Linked DNA regions of Pelodiscus sinensis. The protein of the gene in region 1 purifies or fractionates together with the protein of each later gene. This does not show direct contact. Links are inferred from orthologs where the notes say so. Each region holds a gene or a part of one and is shown on either strand. Other genes may lie near its edges. The genes, in order: SYTL4 and RAB3A.

Region 1 (12,042 bases):
AGACTCCCCTCTGAGCCCAGAGAAGGCAAACGAACAAAAAGATCAGGCCCCTCTATAAGCTGCCATGAGCACGATTTCTGTAAATCTAGGCCCATATCTAGGTCACTTCCTGTCCCAGCTCAGCCCAGCAGAATCACGGCAGCAAAGCACCAAGCAAGAGCCTTCGGAATCATCCCTCCCCCATGGCAGGAGCAGGCTCCCGGGGGCTGCGTGGCACACGACAGCAAGCAGACACGGCTATTGAGAGCAGCGCGAGCGCCGTCCCTGCCTGGCTCACGCCGAGCCTTGCTGGCTCATTTCCTCGTCTGGACCCCTGCTTTCTCCCGGGGTGCATTTTCCCCACTGCCTGCAGGAAGTTCACATTCCCGATGCTGCCGGAGTGACCTTCCTGCCTCCGAGATGACATCACACTCGGTTGTCATGGCTACAGCTGGGCTGGACTTCAGAGATTCCGTGGGAGCAGGTGGCCAGGACTCCGGGAAGGCGGTCTCGAATCTCATTCCGTTCCAGCTCAAACGTGTTTGGGGTAGGGGGGTTAAAGTTTTGTTTTGAAATATAAAAGAAAGCCAACCCGGGCCTTCGGCTTTGCCTATGAAAAGGGCCCTAACAAACTCACGGCCACGAAAAACGAATCCCGGACCTTGTGGGTGCGTTTACCCTATATCACATAGATTTCATGGGGAGGCTCGCATTTCTCAGATTGAGAGCCCTGATCAAAAGAGCTGAAGGGGTGAGGGAGTCCCCTTTACTTCTGCTTTGCCTTCAGGGCGGCATAGAACTAAGGGTGGCAGTATCCTATCCTGCCATCTGTGCTTCTGCACTGCTGCTGGCAGCAGGTCTGCCTGCAGAACTGGGATTCTGGCCATCAGCCACCGCTGCCCAGCTCTGAAGGCAGCACTGCCAGCAGCTGTGCAGAAAGGTGGCAGTACTACCACCCCCCTACGTTAACCTTGCCACATACACCACTTCTTTTGGGGGTCAGGACCCCTACAATTACATCAAGGTGAAATATCAGATTTTAACAGCTGAAATCATGACTTTTTTTTAAATCCTATGCCCATGACATTGATCAAAATGGACCGTGAATTTAGTGTGGTCCTACCTATGAATGAACTCGAGAACACAAGTCAAGACAGAGCAAGTCATTCGTTAACTGCCCTAGATAGACAAGTACATCTTCCGTATTGAAGACACTAAGCAAAAATAGGTTGCATTGTTAGATTGTAACTTACCAGGTGTGAAAAAAATTCTCACCCCATTTTGTAAACCACCTCTTTAACGAAAGGTCAAACAAACCTCAGCACTCTAAAGAGACACTTCTACTACAGAACTCATCTTTGCTGGTTCCTTAGTCCCCTTCTCAGTCTATTAAGTGTGCTGTAGTAGTTTTAAAAAGGCCCACCATTTCCACTGCAAAAGGGTGGTGTCAAAGACAAAGGATTTGGCTTCAATATTTTGTTTCTTCATTAAAAAGAGAAAGATTTTTACAAGATTCTGAGATCACTAGTAACGCTGCCAGGAACGTTTAAAAAGCATCACCCTTTGGTTCCCAGTACTGTGCTAATGCATGTGAGAACTGGCAAGTGAAACTGATCAACTGGCCATTGTTCAAGCAAAACAACATTGAAAACCAGTTAAAACTCCGTTTTTAATAATCCAAGATGCCCTTTATTTAGGTTCGTAAGAAACGTAACGTGAATTTTAAACTGTCCCTGTTCCTTTAAACAGCCTTGCTCTACAAACATGCAAGAAGCTAGAATCTGGGTGCTAAAAGGAAAGCAACAAAGAGCAGCAATAAGAACAAAAGCAATAGGGAGCGTAAGTGGGTTATCTGAACTACCAAGCCTGACTGAAGCCATCTCTCTGCCCTGTCAGGGATTGGACCCTCGAGGTGCACTTCTTACTTCACAACTTGCAGTTTGCTGGTTATCCTGGCAAGCCTCGTACCCCAGCGACCGGCACTTAGATCGAGCATCCAGAAACAAGCAAAGTAACGCCAGTCTCCCTGCCAGCAACATGCTTGTACACGCCGATTCATTTCCTACTCCATGCCCACTGTCCTACTCAGAATGTAATCCTCCAACTCACACCTTGCTCCGAGTCCGTATCAGCTACTGGGATTTGATCTAAGAAGCAGGATGTAGATCTGGGCTCTCTCTAAATCACAACTAGGCTGGCCATTTCCACATTTACTGCAGCATAAGGTTTGGGCTCCCAAGGGCTGAATAAACACCCTCAACTCTCCCACAATCAGCAGGCTTTGGGGATGCCCTCATCTGGTCTCTCCTTTTCAACTCCAAGGTGGCACTTTCCCTCACAGAGAAGCTCTGGTCTGATGGCTGCCTAAAGTCCTAAATCTGAGGAAAATCAACAGCAGCAGCTCCTAGGCCAGCTGGAGCACTGGCCAGGCTGGGAGAGGATGGAAGTTGCTTAGATTGTTTGTTTAGAATTGGCTTTTCTAAATTACTTAGGTGTCCTAAGGCAGGTGTGCAGAGGGACAAGCATTTTCCCTTTTTGTTCTATATTCAGGAGTATTCGTCTTGGCCTCAGGTGATCCGGAGATGGTCCGGACCGATCTTTGCTCCGACTAACACTAAGATGCCAATCATGCACCCAGACAGAGGAACGTTGAATCTTTCCTTCTGAGGAGTTTGATGAGCTCTCTCGTTAGCGCAGCTGCCCCAGAAGGCTCTTTTGTTCGTGGCGGTCCCACCTATTCCAGTATCCTCCCTGACATTCACTGCCAGGGCCCCTGCTCCAAACTTTGGTTGCTGAGAAGGGCCACCACTTGAAGATGGAACGGTCACACTCAGATGCGGGAAAGGACCCAGGCCAGAGCAGTGGAGGCTGTTTTGCATAAGCCCAGGAGTGCCATGCAAAGAGGTCAGCTCCCTTTCCTCTCGCTGTGCAGTGTCGGCTTACACCCCAGTGACCAGGAAGAGAAAGAATGAAGCTGAACCAGTTGAGGAAGCTCTTGCTTCTGATGGGAAGCCAGTTCTCTCTAAGGGGACCTCCCCTAGCCTAGCCATATGCTCTCTGCTCACTACACTTCCAACCCTCCTTCTCCCCCGCCGATGCTTGCTCCTTGGTCTGCTGGGTGAAGGGAGGGGAGTTTGATTCTTCCTTAGGAACACTGCACCCTCCAGAACCGGACTCAGACGCACCCGCTTCCACCTCCAAAGAGCCATCTCAATCCAGTTTTGAAGGGCCACTGCTCTATTCTCCTGTAGCTACACAGCTCCACGGCTTCTTGACGGCTTCCCTTCAACCCAGGGGAAGCCAACCAAGTGTCTGGCATTGCCTTACTTCCACACAAGGTCTGGGACTGCCCAGCTTCTCTGTATGTGGAACTGCATAGGAAAGGCAAGAACCCTCCCTCGCCTACGTTTAAGTGCATACACTCGGGGCCAACTCTGGTTCATACAGAGGGAGGGCTTACCTCTTTAGATCGCACCTGCTTCTAATCCACTCTGCATATGCATTACAACAGCTGGACTTGAAACTCTCACTTTCCTACACGTAACCCAGACCCTTTAGAACCGTGGCGTCCAACCAGTTCTGAAGCAACAGACATGATAGCAAGCACATTGGACACCACGGCTTTAGACTGTAAGAATGAACATACGGGGTCAGACAAGCCGACATACGGGGTCCACGCAGCCCAGTATCCTGTCTTCCAGTAGCAGCCAGTGTCAGGTGCTTCAGAGGGAATGAACAGAACAGGGCAATTTATCACATGATCCATCCCCTACCATCCAGTCCCAGCTTCCAACTGTCAGAAGTTTAGGACTACCCAAAGCATGGCCCCAACTCTCTTGGCTAATAGCCATTGAGGGACTTATCTTCCACAAGCTGGTCTAATTCTTTTTTTGAACCCCATTATACTTTTGCCATCACAATTTCCCCTAGCAATGAGTTCCACAAGTTGACTTCCACATTTCCTTTTGTTTTAAATATTCAGCCTATAAATTTCATTGATACCTGCTTCATGGGTTACCCCAAGGGTAAGTAACCCTTCCTTATTCACTTTCTCCACCTCAGTCATGATTATAGACCTCTATCAGAGCCATACTTAGAAGTCTCTCTTCTAAACTGTACAGTCCTGGTTGTCTTAATCTGTCCTCACATGAAAGCTGTTCCACCCCTCCACCCGCTTCGACACAATCTCTGGATTGGGTCCTCAGATTCAAGCTTCTGACGTATGGCATGGCAAAGGGATAACACAAAAGTGACTGCAAGGTGTGAATTGAAATTCTCCAATTTACACCTTCTGACCACAGAAGTTATACCAACCACACACACTCCCACACACACACACACACACACACACACACACACCCCTCTGCACCTGTAAACAAATCCACCTTGCTTGCACCATCTGAAGTTGGCCGGTCTCCCAGTGTGCTACAACACAGGAACACCTCTGGCAAAGGGAGAAAATATTTGCAAATGGATGAAGGTTTGAATTGGGTTGTGCCCACGAAAGCTCATGATACCATCTACATGTTTTGTTAGTCTTTAAAGTGCTACTAGACTATTCGTTGTTTAAGGTTTTCTAATTAGGAAAGTGACTTGGAGGAAGGTTACCTGCATCTATCAAGTGGAGAAGCTTTCAACACAACAGTCCGATAGCTATGATTCCACATGCACACCAAGCACTGTCCAAGCATGTAAGACAAATACTGCTTCTATCTGGGTAGATGTCAGCCCTCCTTCTTTCATGACAGGACATTCGCCTCATAGATAGAAATGAATGCATCCTCCCACAAGCAGAACAAAGCAGGGACCTGAGTTATTAGAGTCATGGCCCTTTCCTGCAGCAGGAAGCCTGGGACTGCTGTGTAAGATACCAGGGGCCCTTGAACAGATAGGGAAACAAACTCCCCACGCCCAACACAAGCTGCAAGTCTTCCTCTCCTCCCTGAACTGCCCCAGGGCTAGAAACCAACAATTAGGGAATGGGAGCAGATTCTGGACCAGCTTAAGCAGCCATGCACACACACACACACACACACACACACACACACACACCGCGCATCACAGGGATTGCACCACCTGCCCTAGGGATGTGACCGTTTAACCATGTAAAGTTTACGGTTAACAAATAACCCTGCACATTTTGGTTAACGTTCACGGCTCTGCCCAGGTTCTCGCTCCACTCTGGGGGAGCTGGCTGCCACCTCACACTGGTACCTCTGTATCAGACACAGTAGCTCCGCTCTGGGGGAACCCGCTGTCACCCCACGCCGCTACCTCTGCACTGGGGGAGCCGGCTGTCACCCCACGCTGGTACCTCTGTATCAGACACAGCAGCTCTGCTCCAGGGGAGCCGGCTGTCACCCCGCGCCGCTACCTCTGCACTGGGGGAGCCGGCTGTCACCCCACGCTGGTACCTCTGTATCAGACACAGCAGCTCTGCTCCAGGGGAGCCGGCTGTCACCCCGCGCCGCTACCTCTGCATTGGGGGAGCCGGCTGTCACCCCGCGCCGCTACCTCTGCATTGGGGGAGCCGGCTGTCACCCCGCGCCGCTACCTCTGCATTGGGGGAGCCGGCTGTCACCCCGCGCCGCTACCTCTGCACTGGGGGAGCCGGCTGTCACCCCGCGCCGCTACCTCTGCACTGGGGGAGCCGGCTGTCACCCCGCGCCGCTACCTCTGCACTGGGGGAGCCGGCTGTCACCCCGCGCCGCTACCTCTGCACTGGGGGAGCCGGCTGTCACCCCGCGCCGCTACCTCTGCACTGGGGGAGCCGGCTGTCACCCCGCGCCGCTACCTCTGCACTGGGGGAGCCGGCTGTCACCCCGCGCCGCTACCTCTGCACTGGGGGAGCCGGCTGTCACCCCGCGCCGCTACCTCTGCACTGGGGGAGCCGGCTGTCACCCCGCGCCGCTACCTCTGTATCCGAGACAGCAGCTGGCTCGCCGGGAGCAGGGAGCAGGCTGGCAGGCTGGAGTCAGGGCGCGCTGGGAGCCGGTTTAACCATGGAACCACTGAAATTTTCCAGCAGTTGCAGCCACTTGCCCATATTCCCACGGGCCACAGCGATCCAGCGCTCGCTCACCACTCGCTCCGGAGGGGAACGCGTCCGCAGCCAGCCGGGCTCCGCTCTCCCAAAGCCCAGCCGCGCCCGCAGCGCCACGAAGCGCGGCTCGCAGCCAGCGGGCCCGGGGCCGGCTCCCTGGGCAGGGCCGGCAGAGCGTCAGGCGGGGGCCCCTTTCCCGCACCCCGGCCCCGGGACCTGCCTGCGGACGCCGCCCCGATCCGCCGCCGCGCCCGGCTCCAGGGGCTCCCAGCAGCCGGGGGCGGGGCCCGGAGCGCTACCTGCGGCGCCTGCCGGCCCGGCTGAAACTTTCCCCCCCGGGGGGCGGGGCTTGAGCCTTAAAGGGGCCGCGCCCCACTCACCTGCGCCCGACGGAAAGGGAGCGGGCCGGGGGCAGCGGGTGGAGCGCGCACGGGGTCACTAGCGCCCCCCTCCCGCCCCGGGAATGGACCCCCGCCCTGAGCCAGCCCCTGCCCCAGCCTGAGCCTGCCCTGGGAACCCCCATGCGGGGCCAGCCCCCGCCCTAGTAACCCCAGAGCTATTCCAGCCCCCCAGCCCCCGCCCTAGTAACCCCAGAGCTATTCCAGCCCCCCAGCCCCCGCCCTAGTAACCCCAGAGCTATTCCAGCCCCCCCAACCCCCGCCCTAGTAACCCCAGAGCTATTCCAGCCCCCCAGTCCCCGCCCTAGTAACCCCAGAGCTATTCCAGCCCCCCAGCCCCCGCCCTAGTAACCCCAGAGCTATTCCAGCCCCCCCAACCCCCGCCCTAGTAACCCCAGAGCTATTCCAGCCCCCCAGCCCCCGCCCTAGTAACCCCAGAGCTATTCCAGCCCCCCCAACCCCCGCCCTAGTAACCCCAGAGCTATTCCAGCCCCCCAGTCCCCGCCCTAGTAACCCCAGAGCTATTCCAGCCCCCCAGCCCCCGCCCTAGTAACCCCAGAGCTATTCCAGCCCCCCAACCCCCGCCCTAGTAACCCCAGAGCTATTCCAGCCCCCCAGCCCCCGCCCTAGTAACCCCAGAGCTATTCCAGCCCCCCAGCCCCCGCCCTAGTAACCCCAGAGCTATTCCAGCCCCCCAACCCCCGCCCTAGTAACCCCAGAGCTATTCCAGCCCCCCCAGCCCCCGCCCTAGTAACCCCAGAGCTATTCCAGCCCCCCCAACCCCCGCCCTAGTAACCCCAGAGCTATTCCAGCCCCCCCAACCCCCGCCCTAGTAACCCCAGAGCTATTCCAGCCCCCCAACCCCCGCCCTAGTAACCCCAGAGCTATTCCAGCCCCCCAGCCCCCGCCCTAGTAACCCCAGAGCTATTCCAGCCCCCCAACCCCCGCCCTAGTAACCCCAGAGCTATTCCAGCCCCCCAGCCCCCGCCCTAGTAACCCCAGAGCTATTCCAGCCCCCCAGCCCCCGCCCTAGTAACCCCAGAGCTATTCCAGCCCCCCAGCCCCCGCCCTAGTAACCCCAGAGCTATTCCAGCCCCCCAACCCCCGCCCTAGTAACCCCAGAGCTATTCCAGCCCCCCAGCCCCCGCCCTAGTAACCCCAGAGCTATTCCAGCCCCCCAACCCCCGCCCTAGTAACCCCAGAGCTATTCCAGCCCCCCAACCCCCGCCCTAGTAACCCCAGAGCTATTCCAGCCCCCCAGCCCCCGCCCTAGTAACCCCAGAGCTATTCCAGCCCCCCCAACCCCCGCCCTAGTAACCCCAGAGCTATTCCAGCCCCCCCAACCCCCGCCCTAGTAACCCCAGAGCTATTCCAGCCCCCCCAGCCCCCGCCCTAGTAACCCCAGAGCTATTCCAGCCCCCCAACCCCCGCCCTAGTAACCCCAGAGCTATTCCAGCCCCCCCAGCCCCCGCCCTAGTAACCCCAGAGCTATTCCAGCCCCCCAACCACCGCCCTAGTAACCCCAGAGCTATTCCAGCCCCCCCAACCCCCGCCCTAGTAACCCCAGAGCTATTCCAGCCCCCCCAGCCCCCGCCCTAGTAACCCCAGAGCTGTTCCAGCCCCTGCAGTCCAAGTCACTCCCATGCTGAGCCAACCCTGCCCCGGTTACCGTTACCCTCAGCCAGCCCCTACCCTGCCTCAGCCCCCCCATACACACTTTGGTAAACTCCATCCGGAACCAACCCCCACGATGTTCCAGCCCTAGTAACCCCCATGCGGAGCCAGCACCTGCCTTATTCCATTCTCCCAACCCTGGTATCGCCCCACCCTGAGCCAACGCCTGCCCTGTTCCAACCCCCACCCCAGTAACCCCATTCCACAATGCAAGAACAAGCAGGCAGTCAATGACACTGAAAAGCAGCAAATATAAAACAGATGAAAGGAAATGCATTATTTATGTGATGCATAATCATCTGTGGAACTCACTGCTCCAAGACAGGAAAGAGCTTGACATGAATGTGGACAAGGAGAGTATCCAGTTCGATGAAAGGATTTCATAAATTAAGGGATATGAACTTATTTCTAAAGATATAAGCCAACAATGAACTCAGTTTGCTGGTGAGACACCCGTAGGAAGGCTATTTCTGAATTGTCTACTCTGGGGCTTTTTGCAGATGCTGGGGGTGGCCAGTGTTGGTGCAGGCCACTGGGCAATGTGGACCTGTCTGGCATTGCCCCGGTTGTGTGTGGTGATTGCTGCCATATGAACAAATATTTCTAAGCACATGCCAAGAACCATGCCACTAATTTTTCTTTGTGGCCTGCCCTGAGCCACAGCTGAGCCCCTCTCCTGGGGTGAAAAGCTGCCCCAGTAACACACCGCACAACCTGAAACTCACTCACATTGAGAAAGACTCACATTGAGCCCCTAACAGGATGTCCCCCCATCTTAGCAATAATGAAAAGGGCTGTGCTGTGGGCCCAATCCTGAGCAATACAGAATACCTGCAATTATTACGATTTGGGGGTGTCTGACACTTCTCAGGAGCATGGCTGCTCAGTAAACATTTGCTTAGGTGACACAGCAGAGCTTCCCTCTCACCCCTTTCCCCCGAACACCCATCCTACCAAGCAGCAGCTGCCTGAACAGCCTTGCATGAGGTTGGGTTTGACAGTTGCTCTGTGATGCTGAAGGAGGCTGACAGGCAGGACTTGTCTGGAGCCAGGCACGAAGCAGGCCAGCCAGGTGTCAGCTCTGACACACACACAGCACTGCCAATGCACCTTGCTGCTGATCTCCAACCACACTGCTAATCCAGTATTGGGGCCCGCCCGCCGCTTAATCTTAATCCTGACCTGCAGCATATTCCCACCTCGAGCTACTGTTGGGCAATCCAAGGTAGCACACACAAGCCAATACTGCTAGGAGTGATGCATTTTTTCATGTTGTGAGGGGAGTGAATGCTTCCGTCAGCCTAGTCAGAGAAGATCAAACTCAAAGAAGTGGGGATCTGCATTGTGAATTCTAACCCTGGGAGGGGAGTCCAATACACTCTTCTAGTTCCTATTTAGGAATGTCCTAAATGTAAACATTTTCCTAAATCTAGAAAATGTAGGTATTTCCTTCCTAGGAAGGGACATGCAGTTTACTCAGTAAAGAAGGATCACGTTAGTGCACAGCCAGTGTACAATACAACAAGACACAGTAAGGCTATGTCTACCCTCGCGGCGTCTTTGCGTGAGAAATATGCAAATGAGACTAAGCGTGGAATATCACCGAGCTTCATTTGCATACCTAAGCAGCCGCCATTTTTGCAGAAGAAGCGCTTGTGCCAGAAGGAGCTGTCTACACTGCCCCTTCTTTTGCAACAAAAACCCTCTTGCGCAATGCTGTTACACCAATTACTTTTCAGGAAGAACAGCATTGCGCAAGAGGGTTTCTGTTGCGCACGAAGGGGCAGTGTAGACAGCTACCTCTGGCGCAAGAGCCTCTTCTGCAAAACTGGCGGCTCATTAGGTATGCAAATGAGGCTCGGCGATATTCCACGCTCAGCCTCATTTGCATATTTCTTGTGCAAGAAGCCGCGAGTGTGGACATAGCCTAAGCGACTGAAAAAAGTTTAACCCAGGAGACATTTCTAATATTCAGAACATTACAGCTACGTGGGCCCAACCACTACAGCCTATCAGGTCACACCTTGTAGATAGCTGCCTGCTCGTCTATGTGGGGACTGCCGCCTGAGTCTCCTCCACTGTGAGCCTACAGTTCACACGGGCCTTGTTTCTCTCTGGCCGCCCCCACATCACCCCCGATCATCACAGTTGCAGTCCTGGGCCTACACACCACTCTCCTAGCACACGGTAATTCTGACATGCTGCAGCCCAGATAGTCTACTGTGGATATACAACTGTGCACACATGCACACACAGACCAATGCCCCCTGCAATTCTAATCTTGGGACCTCACATATCTGAATTCTGCTCTGCATTCCCTAGACTAGTCCATGTAAATGGGGGGTGTGAAAGAGGAAGACTAAGGGTACGGCTACACTGTACACTTATTTAGGAATAAGCTATTCCAGAAGAAATACTCTGAAATAGCTTATTGCAAAATAGCGCATTTACACTACAGAGAAGCCTCAAAATTAGTCCGAGGCAGGCTCCCCTAATGTGGATGTGCTATGTCCATTTAGAGCCTTAGCAGGCACTGGAGAGTAATTAGTTTGAATGGCCCTGGGGAGGAGCTATTTCAAAATAGCAGCAGTGGAACGTCCACACTACAGCTATTTCGAAATAGCTATTTTGGAATGAGCGTTATTCCTTGTGGAATGAGGTTTACAGAAGTCGGAATAAGCCGTCTGTTATTTCATATTTATTTTATGGCTGTTATTCCGAAATTATGCTGCTGTGTAGACACACCCTAAAGGACTCAGAGATCATACCGGACAACCAAATATATGAATCCTCGCAAACTGATGCGATGGTAAGAGGGCTAATGCAAGCTTTGAATGGGGGATTATCAAGTACTAACCTGCGCATCCAGAAATATAATTTATGCTATCATGTGCCGAAAGTGTCCGTCAGCTATGTACATTGGACAAATGTCTCAGACACTTCGCCCACAAAAGAGATATTAGACAGGATCACAAAGGAAAAACAGTTTCTTGCCATTGCAACCAGAAAGGACATTGTCTCAACAACCTGATTACCTGCATCCTGCTTCAAAGACCTTTTAAGACTGCACTTGAAAGGGAATCCTCTTAACTGTCATTCATGCTTAAATTCAACACTTTACGCCTGAGTTTGAATAAAGAATCTAATTACCTTACCCATTACAAAGATAGCTTCCCCAATTATCACCTCTAATATCATTAGCTCACAGACATTTACCTTCCCCCCTCCCCCATCTCCCTTCTGTTCTGAAATTTGATTTGTCCTTTTCATATGTGTTCACTTTTTTTTAATTGTATCTTTTGGTATATATGGTTGTGACAATTTTCTTCTACTATTTGATCTGAGGAAGTGGTCTGGCCCACGAAAGCTCATCACCTAATAAACCATCTTGTTAGTCTTTAAAGTGCTACATAGTCCTGTTTTTTGATTTAACATGGAGATGATACTGTATTTCTTTCTGATCAGCATCCCTTGAAAAGGTTGTTGAGAAACTAGAAAAAAGGCTAGGGAAGCGCTATAAGAACAAGTCACCGTCCAGAAAACCATCCTTTCAATGCAAGACTTACGCTTGTTTTATTTGGTTTATCAAAGAGAAGGTGAAGCGGCTACTTGCCCATGGTTTTACAAGTCCTCACACAGGAAGAAGATAGTCAGTACTGCATTGCTCTTAAAGCCACAACAGGATCTAATGGCTGAATAGTGAGGTTAGAAACATTCAGTCTAGAAACAAGGTCGATATTTTTAATGCAGAGGATAATTAGCCACTGGAACAGTTTAACCACGGGATGTGGTCAAAAAGATCTGCTCTACTTGCACCGCAACGTAATTAGCTTGAAGGAGGAATTACTTGGTGAAATTCTACATTCAGATCAGACTAGATGATCATACCGATCTTCAGACCTTAAAACCTAAGAGAGGGAAGGGGCAGAATTCTTGGATTTGGTCCAG
Region 2 (12,042 bases), on another chromosome or scaffold:
CAGAGGAATTAACAAAGACTCCAACTATCTTACCCATTACAAAGATAGCTTCCCCAATTATCACCTCTAATACTATTAACTCACAGACATCTTTCTTTCCCCACCTCTAATATCATTAACTCACTGGCATTCACCTTCCTTCCCCCCCCCCCGCCCCCCCACATCCCCCCTCTGTTCTGTAATGTGATTTGTCCTTTTCATGTGTGTTCACTTTTTTTTAAATTGTATCCTTTGGTATCTATGGTTATGACTATTTTCTTCCACTATTTGATCTGAGGAAGTGGGTCTGGCCCACGAAAGCTCATCACCTAATAAACCATCTTGTTAGTCTTTAAAGTGCTACATTGTCCTGAATTTACTGGGTTAGTTGACCAGACTTTAGGATCAAATTTGCTTTAAACTATTTCATAGTGTGTTGCTGAAGAGGGTAAAAATCACGTCATCTCCTGCCCAGCTACCACCAGGCAAAGGGAACTGTAAATCCTAAAGACAGCTCTGCCCTCCAGCGACCTAGGTAATTGTCACACGGGGGCAGCGCTCCTGCACCGACAGGAAGAACTCTTCTGTACACGGAGGCTGTTTCTACCCCAGCAATGGGCACCCGAGGCTAGTGAGCCTCCATCTCTGGGCCACAAGATTGCTGTAACCAAGACGGTCTTCCGGAAAAGGGTTGTTTTGCTCACGGCGCTTGCGGGCCTGGCATTTGCAGGGGGTGCCGACTGAACCGTGGCAGCGCTGTGATTGGAGGCAAAGGGGGTGCACGGCTCTCCCAGTCAGTGCGGTGCGTAATCAGCCTGCACCCCACGTCCCATGCCTTTGCTTTACGTGCGTGTTATGTTAGTAACACCAGTAGGAAAAAACAACGTGGACAGAAACCGCGGAATCCGGCACCCGCGAGCGACGGTAAACAGACGGTCTCACGGGCCATGTGTAGAACCCCGAGGGGCTGCATACAGCCCCCAGGTTGCCCACCACGGAGCTGCACTATGGGGCCATAACGACACCGCTATCCCCCCTTCCCAGTGTAGACATGGTTGTGCTCCCTAACTCCTCCCTGCAGAGCCAGACCTCAAAGCTTTAACTCGTCTCTCCAGGGGTTGTGCGTTGGCACAGTGCTTAGCACAACTGTGCCCAGCCTGGCTAAGGCCTTGAGGGACTATTGCAATGTAAACAGCAGAACACCGCAACTGAGCGGAGACCCAGCCCTGCCAGAGGGAGGTAAAGGAGACACGTGAAGGGTGCAACCCCCCCCCCCCAGCAAGATCCCCCAAGGAAGCATGCTCCAGCTGGCTAGGGGCAGACAAGCCTCCCTCCTCCATGCTCTGCCCGGCCGGGGGAAGGCTGGGGCTCATATCCCTGCTTACTTGGGGGGCCATGGGGGTGCATTCACACCTTTGTGGTCCACATTTCCAAAAAAAGCACCCCTCCACCTGAGGTGAATACCCTGGTGCCCGTCCCAAGGCCCCTGTGCACACAGGACCCCTGCAGCTCCGTGGAGGATGGGGAGGAGAGAAGGGATGTTTGACAAGACCTGCTCTGGGAATGATTCTGGGGCCCGTTTTCAACACTAGATGCCTGCAGGAGATTCCAAGGCCAGAAGGACCTAGGGAGAACCTGCCACGAGCCTTCCCAGGCTGATTGGAGACCCCCCTGCCCATGTGCCTCAAAAGGTTCATCAGGGACAGCCCCTTGACCCCTCTGCAACCCTGGGGAAGGGGTAACCCTACACTTTCCAGCGTGGGGAAGAGTAGGAGGAGATGCAAGAGCACCTTCCTGAATTTGCAGAGACCTTTCCAATGCCTCTGCTGCAGAGCCCGGTTCTTCTCCAGCAGCAGACGAGGCCCGTCAGTTTCAAGCATTTAGACTCAGCACCACAGGGAAACTCAAGAACAAGGTCATGTTCCTGCAGCAGGGAGGGCACCAGACACGAGATGGGAAGAAGAACAGCGGCACCCCCCCCCCCCCCCCCCCGCCTGCAATGGGCAGGAAGCTCTCCAGATGAGCAGACCCTGGCTGATAGTTCCAAATCTCTGGGAACGTTTCCCTAGCCCTGTTTATAAAACAGAGATTAGATTCCTCTTCGCCTGTCGGGAACGGCTAAGATAGTCCTTCGTCCTGCCGTGAGGGCAGGAGACTGGACTCGATGTCCATTCCAGTCCTACGATTCATCTGAGTAGTACCAGAATGCACAGCAGCATGAGCTATTAGCTTCCAGATTGAAGTATGTGGGGTACTGCCTGCAAAGGGGTGTACAGGTTTTCGCCCTTTACTGTCTGTTTTAAGGTCATCCACAAAGGAATTTTTCCCCCTCCTCTCTGTGAGAAATAATATCAGGAAACGTGACCTTACAACCTCATTCATATTCACTGCTGGGGAGAATCCTGCTTTGATTCTCTAATCCCATTTCCTGTACCTTTGTTTTAGTCTTTCATCACTTGATATTCAAGCAATATGGTGACAGGCAGCAGACCCAAAGGAAGAGTGCACACAATGCAGTGTGCATTAGATGCACAAGGCAAAATTGAGCAACTAAATTTTTGAGGGCAAAATTCACCCAGAAATACAGAGCCACTGATTCCCATTGTCAAACGGGGTTTATAAACTCACCCAGGAGGATTTATTTGTTTGACACATGCGGTCCCGAGTCTAAAGACACCCAAAATAGGGAACAGTGGGACTTATTGGACTGGGCAGTTATGACTGTGCATACATACAGTCGGGAAGTTTTAATGGTGTACTGAGCTGGAAGCACAATTCAGAGTTGTTGGGGGTTTTTTTTGGGGGGGGGGGAGAGAAAGAGATAATTTCCAGCTAAGAGAAATCGGCACTGCTCCATTTCTTGAAAGCCGAACAGGAGAAAACCTCTGAACATGTGGTTTTCACCACCCTCTGTATGAATAAATCCTGTTTACACTGCCACTCTGTCAGCAATCCAGATCCAACGGGAACTATGCAACCCAGCTAGTCACTTAACCCATTTCAACAATGTGCAATTTAACTCAAATAATGGTCCTCGACATAATATTAGTCATTTGGCCCTTGGGGACCAAGTTCATATTTACAGAAACATTTTATTGCTACATTAAGCCAGTCGCTTAGTGAAAAAGCTCCTCCAGTGCATTTTAATTACAGTACTCAAAACCGATATGCAGCTTTGCTGTATGTTGTCTCCAAGCCTTTGTATTAGACAATCCGCAGAAGAACACAACCCTCCCATGACAGGCACACGCAGATCCCAGCCCCCAGGAGAAAGGGAAGGAGATTCCCTACAAGTCCCGCTGCCCCCCGACTTAGTGTGTGCCACCCAAGTAAAAGCAGCTCTCTCCTGCCAAGCCCCAAACCAAGACACATCTGAACAAATCCCACCCTATGGGACACAAGAGAAGGTACAATGCCGACAGACTTGGAGCAAAATGCAGGACAATGTAGCACTTGAAAGACTAACAAGATGGTTTATTAGATGATGAGCTTTCGTGGGCCAGACCCACTTCCTCAGATCAAAATTTTGATTTTGATCTGAGGAAGTGGGTCTGGCCCACGAAAGCTCATCATCTAATAAACCATCTTGTTAGTCTTTCAAGTGCTACATTGTCCTGCATTTTGCTTCAGCTACCCCAGACTAACACGGCTACATTTCTATCACTATTCGACAGACTTGGAGACAGACTCTGTTTCTGTAATGCCCCTGGACAGAGCACTAGGGGCCCTTCTATTTGTCATGGGTCTGTGGCAAGGTTCTCCATAACGTCACGGCATCCTGGTGTAAAACAACAGACACTGGTCACCTGTGCGGAGCCAGGCTTGGGGTGGAGGCAGCTTTGGGTTGATAAAGTCTGAGCATTCTCCTGAGCTAGGCAGGGCACCTTATGTAGTGAGGGAAAGAGGACCCAGGCACTACCTAGGACCTGGGCATGGAGGATCTTTCAGGAGCTAATGTTTTTCTGAGGGAGGTAGCCGATACGGACTGAGACAATCAGTTTTGTTCTGTAGTCTGTCATGTCGAGCTAGCAGGGTTCATCATAATGTTGTACCAGAAGCTTCTGCCCTAGTAGCGAGCCCTATTCTCCAGCTCCCTCGCTGTGTTTTTCTGGAAATTTCATTCTTTGCGATCACCTACGAAACACCCCTCGCTGCAGGCAGGCCACCCCGTTCCCTGGCTCACCTTCGCCACGCAAGCGTCACGACAGCACCGCCGCCCAGGCAAACAGTCGCTCCCCCCCACCCCATCCATTTTGCTATTTTAAAAGCAGCAGTAGGCACATGGGAAGTGAATTATGCCACCCTTCAAAGCGTGAGCAATGCAGTAACCTTATACACCACCGCACTGGACGGCCAACTCGGTGGCATGCTTGGTTGGATGCGTTAATAAATGACTGTCAGAGGCGGAGGGGTGGAGTGGATGCAGGTGGATTCAAGCTATTCAGTTGCCTGAGTCTCCGCCTTGCCATCAATCATTCATATTAAAACATCCTTAACCAGCAGCAGCATCAGTTAGCATCCTCCCCCCCCTCCCATCACTGGCAGAAAAGGCTTCATGCACAGAATGGCTCCTCTGGATCTGTTATTCTTCCAGCCCCAGTCTTCTGACCTGGCACCAAAGAGAAAGGTCTCAGCTAGGGCCGAGGGTCCCTATTCGGCTCCCTGCCCCTCCAGGCTTCCCCACCTCCCCAGCGGAGAAAGCACCTTTGCAGGGCTCGGCAAACCACTGGGATGGATGCGGGGGATGCAAGCCCCGACAACGGCCCATCACCTCCACTCCAAGCCTAGGAGAGGCAGGAGGCCACGCCAGACGCGCAGCACAGGTGGGGGGGGGGGCGGAAGCTCATTGCACGCAGCCCCCCCGGGCGGCCTGAGACGGAAATGGATGCAGAAGGCTGATCATACCCCCCCCCCCCTCCCTCCTTGCAGAGGGCAGGGCTGTGTGCTTGCAGCAGCCGGAGCGATTTGTGTACATCGCCCCCCCCCCCATTGCTTTGCTAGGTGCACTCAGCATCCCCCCCCCCCCCCCCGCCCAGCAGCAGGGACCGAGCACCCTGCTCGCTTCCCCCCTGCGCTCCGTGCAGCCACGAGCCCCTCCCGGCGCATCACCCCCCCCGCAGGTGTCAAATGAAGATTATCGCCCTGCACGCGGGGGCACCCGGGGAGGAAACGGGGGGGGGGCGCGCGCTCACCTCCAGATCGCGCTCCCCGGGCTCCTCTTGCACCAAATGCAGCAGCAGCGCGCGCGGCCCCGGCAATTGCAGAGCCCTGCTGACGTCGCCAGCATTCCAAAGGGGGCGGGGACCGATATGCAGATGACAGAGTGACGTCAGGAGGCCGGAGACGACCCATTCCGAGCTTCTCCTTCAGGCTCCTCAGGCAGGGGCGGGACTCCTGCCCAGTCCTGTGCTTCTATTGGGCTCGCACTAATGATTGACAGCCCACGGGTGCACCTATCGGTCCTTTCGCGGGCCCACCGCCTCCAGCCTCCTAGGGAGGCCAGCTGGCCTGGTTCAATGGCTGTCATAGCCACGTGACGTGCCCCCCCCCCACCATGGGGCAGTGGTACGAGCCACCACACTTCATCTCCTTTATCAAGATCTATCCCACACCTCCAAGGACAAGTGGTATGAGCTGGTTCTCACCCTCGCCACTGTCATGACAGGGCACCACCCTGCACACGGGGCAGTGGTATGAGCCAACTCACACCATGCAACAGACCCGCCACAGCAAGCCAGCACACATCTCCCTGTCACAACAGTCACCCCCCCCACAAGGGATAATGGTACAAGCCACCATATGCCACCTCTTCTGTCACAGTTCCCACCTGCCTCCAGAGGAGATAGTGGTACAAACCACCTGAAGCTGCTCCCCCTTACATGTCATCCCCCCCATGGGACCGTGGTTCAAGCCACCCCAGGCCTGCTCCCCTGCTTCCCCCGTGGGATGATGGTACAGGCCAGCCAAGGCCCACCCTCCTATCTGGACATGTCATCCCCGTATGGACTGTGGTACAAGCCACCCCAGCCTGCTTCTCTGTCCTGATGTGTCATCCCCCCTGTGGGATGGTGGTACAGGCCGCCCCAGGCCCACTCCCCTGTCCAGACATGTCATCCCCCCCATGGGGCAGTGGTACACGCCATCATAGCCTGTTCTTCTATCGCAACAAGTCATCCCCCCGCAGGACGGTGGTACAGGCCACCCCCTATGTCCAGACATGTTATCCCCCCAGAGGATGGTGGTACAAGCTGTCACAGCCTGTTCTATCTCAACATGTCATCCCCCCACAGGCTGATGGTACGGGCTGCCCCAGGCCTGCTCCCCTGTCCGGACATGTCATCCCCCCCATGGGGCAGTGGTACAAGCCATCATAGCCTGTTCTTCTATCGCAACAAGTCATCCCCCCGCAGGACGGTGGTACAGGCCACCCCCTATGTCCAGACATGTTATCCCCCCAGAGGATGGTGGTACAAGCCGTCACAGCCTGTTCTATCTCAAGATGTCATCCCCCCACAGGCTGATGGTACGGGCTGCCCCAGGCCTGCTCCCCTGTCCGGACATGTCATCCCCCCCATGGGGCAGTGGTACAAGCCATCATAGCCTGTTCTTCTATCGCAACAAGTCATCCCCCCGCAGGACGGTGGTACAGGCCACCCCCCATGTCCAGACATGTTATCCCCCCAGAGGATGGTGGTACAAGCCGTCACAGCCTGTTCTATCTCGACATGCCATCCCCCCACAGGCCGATGGTGCAAGCCGCCCCAGGTCCACTCCCGTCCTGACATGTCACTTTTGGGAGGCAGCTGGTGTTGAGGGAGGCGTCACATGGCCAGCTCCCGGGGCTCTGCTGGTCACCTGGGCCAGAGCAGCCTGCACTCTGCTCCCACCCCAGATCAGCACCCCCTAGTGTGGCACCCAGGAACTGCCCCCTCCTGCCTCCGCTGCCACTCTGCTGTCAATTATAAAATCATGAGTGGTGTGGAGAGGGCTGATAAAGAAAAGTTATTTATTAGTTCCCATAATAGAAGAACTAGAGGACACCAAATGAAATTAATGGGTAGCAGGTTTAAAACTAATAAAAGAAAGTTCTTGTGTTGTCAACCTGTGGAACTCCTTGCCAGAGGAGGCTGTGAAGGCTAGGACTATAATAGAGTTTAAAGAGAAGCTGGATAAATTCATGGAGGTTAGGTCCATAAAAGGCTATTAGCCAGGGGATAAAATGGTGTCCTTGGCCTCTGTTTGTCAGAGGCTGGAGAGGGATGGCAGGAGACAAATCGCTTGATCATTGTCTTCGGTCCACCCTCTCTGGGGCACCTGGTGCTGGCCACTGTCGGTAGACAGGATACTGGGCTAGATGGACCTTTGGTCTGACCCAGTACGGCCGTTCTTATGTTCTTACGTTCTTATGCTGCGCGCCTTACTCCCCCGCCCCTGCCGGACGCGGCAGGGGAACATTGTCCCCGCCGGGCTTCCATCCCAGGGAAACAGGAAATACCGGACATTGCACATGTCACATTGCACATGTCCGGTATTTCCTGGGTATTTCCTGTCCGGGTGAATACTGGACACCTGGCAACCCTACCCCCCACCTGCTCTCCAAGCTGGGGAGGTCTATGGCCCCTAACCTCGGTCACTTCCATTTATCCCAACCTGGGCTCCTGGGAGAGCTAAGCGAAGTGTTTCAGGGGAAGGTTGCCCTGCTGGGTCACAGCCGCCCTGAGCCCTGCTCCTAGGGCCAGCACTGCCTGGGACAGCCTCTGGCTTGGCTGGTCCCTGAGGCCCAGCCAGCGGCCTGTCCCAAAGGGCTCAGGCGAACCATGGGGGGGATTAGATGGAAGCACCGTATGTCACACATGCTGCTGTTTTCAGCCGCAGCGGCTTCAGGCAGTGAGTCCCCTGAGTCACAGCCCAGCTCACTTTACCTGCCCAAGAGCCGGGAACAGCACCCCCTGAGTCACCCCGGAATCATCTCGTCACCTCCAAAGCATCAACTGGGGCTAGGAGCAGTCCCCAGAGAACATGGGGCCCTGCAGCCGCTCAGGAGGGTCCCCCCAAAGCAGGCTGGGAAACAACGCAGCACAGAGCATCCCGGGGGCGCCATTGAGGGGTCAAGGGCTCCACCCCCCCAAAAGTTGGAGTCTCTAAATTTCACACTTGAGGTCTGCTTCAGTTTAGAAAAGAGGAGACTGAGGGTGTGTCTAGACTACATGCCTCCTTCGACGGAGGCATGTAGATTAGCCAGATCGGAAGAGGGAAATGAAGCCGCGATTAAAATAATCGCGGCTTCATTTAAATTTAAATGGCTGCCCCGATCTGCCGATCAGCTGTTTGTCGGCAGATCGGGGGAGTCTGGACGCGATGCCCCGACAAAGAAGCCTTTCTTCATCGGCACAGGTAAACCTGGTTTCACGAGGCTTACCTGTGTCGATGAAGAAAGGCTTCTTTGTCGGGGCATCGCGTCCAGACTCCCCCGATCTGCCGACAAACAGCTGATCGGCAGATCGGGGCAGCCATTTAAATTTAAATGAAGCCGCGATTATTTTAATCGCGGCTTCATTTCCCTCTTCCGATCTGGCTAATCTACATGCCTCCGTCGAAGGAGGCATGTAGTCTAGACACACCCTGAGGGGGGATATGACAGAGGTCTATAAAATCATGAGTGGTATGGAGAGGACCGATAAAGAAAAGTTATTTATTAGTTCCCTAAATAGAAGAACTAGAGGACACCAAATGAAATGAATGGGTAGCAGGTTTAAAACTAATAAAAGAAAGTTCTTCTTCACATAGCATGTAGTCAACCTATGGAACTCCTTGCCAGAGGAGGCTGTGAAGGCTAGGACTATAATAGAGTTTAAAGAGAAGCTAGATAATTTCCTGGAGGTTAGGTCCATAAAAGGCTATTAGCCAGGGGATAAAATGGTGTCCTTGGCCTCTGATTGTCAGAGGCTGGAGAGAGATGGCAGGAGACAAATCGCTTGATCATTGTCTTCGGTCCACCCTCTCTGGGGCATCTGGTGCTGGCCACTGTCGGCAGACAGGATACTGGGCTAGATGGACCTTTGGTCTGACCCAGTACGGCCGTTCTTATGTTCTTATGTATGTGCAGAGCTGTGCCTGGGGCTAGGCCAGGGGTTTTCAAATTACAGATCGCAACCCAGGCCTGGGTGTTTGGCGCTGGGTCTCGTAGCTGCAGGGGGATCTGGTGAGCAGCGGGGGGAGCTAAGGCAGCTCGGCACCGCAGACTGCGCTGCGCCCCAGAAGCGGCCGCAGCAGGCCCAGCTCCTAGATGTGGGGGGAGAGCATCCAGGACTCAGTGCACTGCCCCTGCCCTGAGCACTAGCTCCACACTCCCATTGGCTGGGAACCTGCTGCCGGCTGCTTCTGGGGGCAGCATGGTCTGCGGTGTCAGGAGAGACAGGAAGCTGTCTTAGCCCCCTCCGCTGCCCGGGAGCCGCTCAAGGTAAGTCCCACTTGTCCTACCCATGACCCCCGCAAAGCCGGAGCCCCCTCCTGCAGCCCAAAGCCCAGCCTCAGCCCTGCCCCAGAGCCTGCACGCCAGTCACATGATGTCGGGTTGTGGCATCAGCGATTTTCTTCAACTGGGTCATGAGAAAAAAAGTTTGCAAAGCGCTGGGCTTGGAAATGTGTTTCAACCAGCTTGTGCTGCTCCCAGCTTTGCCTTTGGGGCAGGGGATTGTTTATAGCCACAGGGAGGCAGGGTGATTAAGGTAACAAAGGGCTTGTCAATGAACTTGCAGGGCGACTCAATGCCGCCCACAGGTGGGAGCCAAAACAAAAAAGTCGTCAATATAATGGTCTTCTGATGGGATGCCTTTTAGTAGTTAAATTCCTGGACTGTCATTGCTCATTAAAAGTGCTGTCACATGGGTAGAAATCGGGGAAATATCGCATTTTAGTAATAGCAGCAGAAGTGACTTAAATGGGGCTTGCATGTTGTGTCGTCTTGCCTTAATCTTTGTATTTATGCCCGTCAGTGTGAAAGAAACAATTTGCATATATTTGCATATATACTTGCACGTTTATGCAACCACACTTAAGTTGCAGGCCTCGGCATGTGCTGTGAGTATCATTGGCAGGGCTCGACAAATCACTGTGGGTGAGTAGATTTCAGCTGGTCGCTCCGTTCGCCCTGTTCAAAGGTGCTGTGTGCATGCACAGTGCCGGTCTGGCGCATGCGCGGTGCGGGGCTGGCGAGTAGAGCTTGCCGCGGTTTGTCGAGCCTCAATCATTGGGATGGTCTAGACAGTACTGGGTTCTGCCGGGAGAGCAGGGGACTGAACTCGATGACCTCGCGAGGTCCCTTCCCGTCCTAATATTCTATGAGTCTATGACTGTCACCCTCAGGGCTTCCAAAATTGAGTGGCCATGAACTAATGGAAGGCTCTTTAGATGATCAGGAAAACATTGCCAGATACGCCACTTAAAAGCTAGGAAACAAAGGGTAGAAATAAACAGCGTGCGCCAGGGGGGCGGTGTTGGGACCAGCGCTGTTCAACTTATTTATAAATGGCTTTGAAAAAGGGGAAAGCAGCGAGGTGGCAAGATTTGCAGACACAACAGGACTCACAGTAGTTAAGTCCATAGCGGACTGCTAAGAGTTACAGAGGAACCACACAAACCTAGGAGACTGGGCAACATAAAGGCAGATGGACTTCAGTGCTGATAAGTACCAAGTAACGCACATGGTAAAATATAACCCCAACTATACCTATACAAATGGCGGGGTCTAGACACTCTGTTTTCCAGAGACTCGGTAGCTCTTGGAAAGACGTGAGGTGTCTCCATCCCTCCCTCGCCCTGGCCGCCCCAATGTGCTGCTGGGCTTGTACTGAGCATGCTCAGTGACACTGCTGAAGCTGTTGTCCTCATATTGCCTCCCCCCATGCCCTCACTCTGCCCTCCCCCACTATCACCGCATGCTCAGCTCGCCCCCCCCATCTGAAATGATGCCCCTGGAGGCTGGCCTAGGCTGGGTGAGGCCTTTCCGGTCTCTAATCGCTAGTGTTGCATGGTGAGATGTGGCTCAATGTGGCAGGGGGGGCCACGTGGCCACGTGGTCGGCCTGCAGAGGGCCCCCGCGGGGCTTTGGCTCGCTGACGGCTGGCCTCCACGGGGCTGGTGAGCGGCACACAGCCTGCCGCTCTGGGGCAGAGCCTAGGCAGTGGCAAATGAGCGTGGGGAGAGGCAGAGCCACAAGCTGGTGCACGCCTGAGCACGTGGCACGTTTCCAGTGAGAGGGAGATGGGCCCTGGGCCTCGAGCCCCATCATGCCCCGGGCAGAGGCAGTGGTGGGGCGACAGGACTGGCCTCCCGGGCATGGCCGAGCGAGCCCTCATTCCATGCCCCGGCTGTGGGGCACCAGAGCAGGGCTGGAAACCTCTCCCCAGCCAGCAGGGTCTTCGTGGCAAACCCAACTGGCCACTGGGTGGCACCATCGGCCCGTTATTGGGAGCCCCATTCTGGTGGCTGGGGGAGGGGGTCAAGGATGGGGGATTTTCCTGGTCCGGGAGCTCAGCCCCTGGGGTAGCCGATACCACTCTGAGCACTTTGGCTCCGGCCCTTCTGCCGGGGGACCCAGGTGGGCATTTTGTCCGGCGCCCTGCAGGCACAAGCGGCATGGGCGTGTGATCACAGCAGTCGCTGAGCGGCCCTTGGGTGCTGCAGCCATGTCCAGGCTCAGGGTGACTGGGCAAGCAAAGCAAACACAGGCAGGGGACGGGCCGGCCATGGACTCCACAGCCCCCTCCTTCAGCCTGGGGCATCTCTCCATGCAGATCGGTCCCAGCTCCGTTCACTGCCCTGCAACGGGCTGCTGCCGCCCGGCTCGCTGCTACAGGGTGCCCTGGAGAACTGCAAATTCCCTGCGACCTTTAACCCCAGCAGCACTGCCCGGCTCCCCGCAGGGAAGGGGGGAGCCAGTCTGGTGTCAGTGGCCCCCTGCCCCCCAGCACAGGGGCTGTCCCAGACCAGCAGCCTGCCAAGGAGGAAATTCCCACCTCGTAGCAGGGGCTAGGACGACTCTCCAAAGCTCACAGCCAGCAG

Evidence for each region.
Region 2: the proteins of SYTL4 (region 1) and RAB3A purify together in Homo sapiens (affinity purification with mass spectrometry; 3 studies listed by BioGRID and IntAct, counting the BioPlex papers as one, with this or other methods). This does not show direct contact. The link is inferred for Pelodiscus sinensis from reciprocal best matches to the Homo sapiens genes SYTL4 and RAB3A.

Annotation. Positions count from the first base shown.
Region 1 is NC_134723.1:4,977,634-4,989,675, reverse strand, and holds the start of SYTL4 (synaptotagmin-like protein 4), read right to left. Parts: upstream 6,379-12,042; 5' UTR 6,243-6,378; intron 6,235-6,242; exon of another isoform or gene 6,062-6,234; intron 6,025-6,061; exon of another isoform or gene 5,894-6,024; intron 424-5,893; exon of another isoform or gene 269-423; intron 1-268. UniProt on the Homo sapiens protein: Modulates exocytosis of dense-core granules and secretion of hormones in the pancreas and the pituitary. Interacts with vesicles containing negatively charged phospholipids in a Ca(2+)-independent manner.
Region 2 is NC_134729.1:20,221,757-20,233,798, reverse strand, and holds the start of RAB3A (ras-related protein Rab-3A), read right to left. Parts: upstream 5,331-12,042; 5' UTR 5,172-5,330; intron 1-5,171. UniProt on the Homo sapiens protein: The small GTPases Rab are key regulators of intracellular membrane trafficking, from the formation of transport vesicles to their fusion with membranes.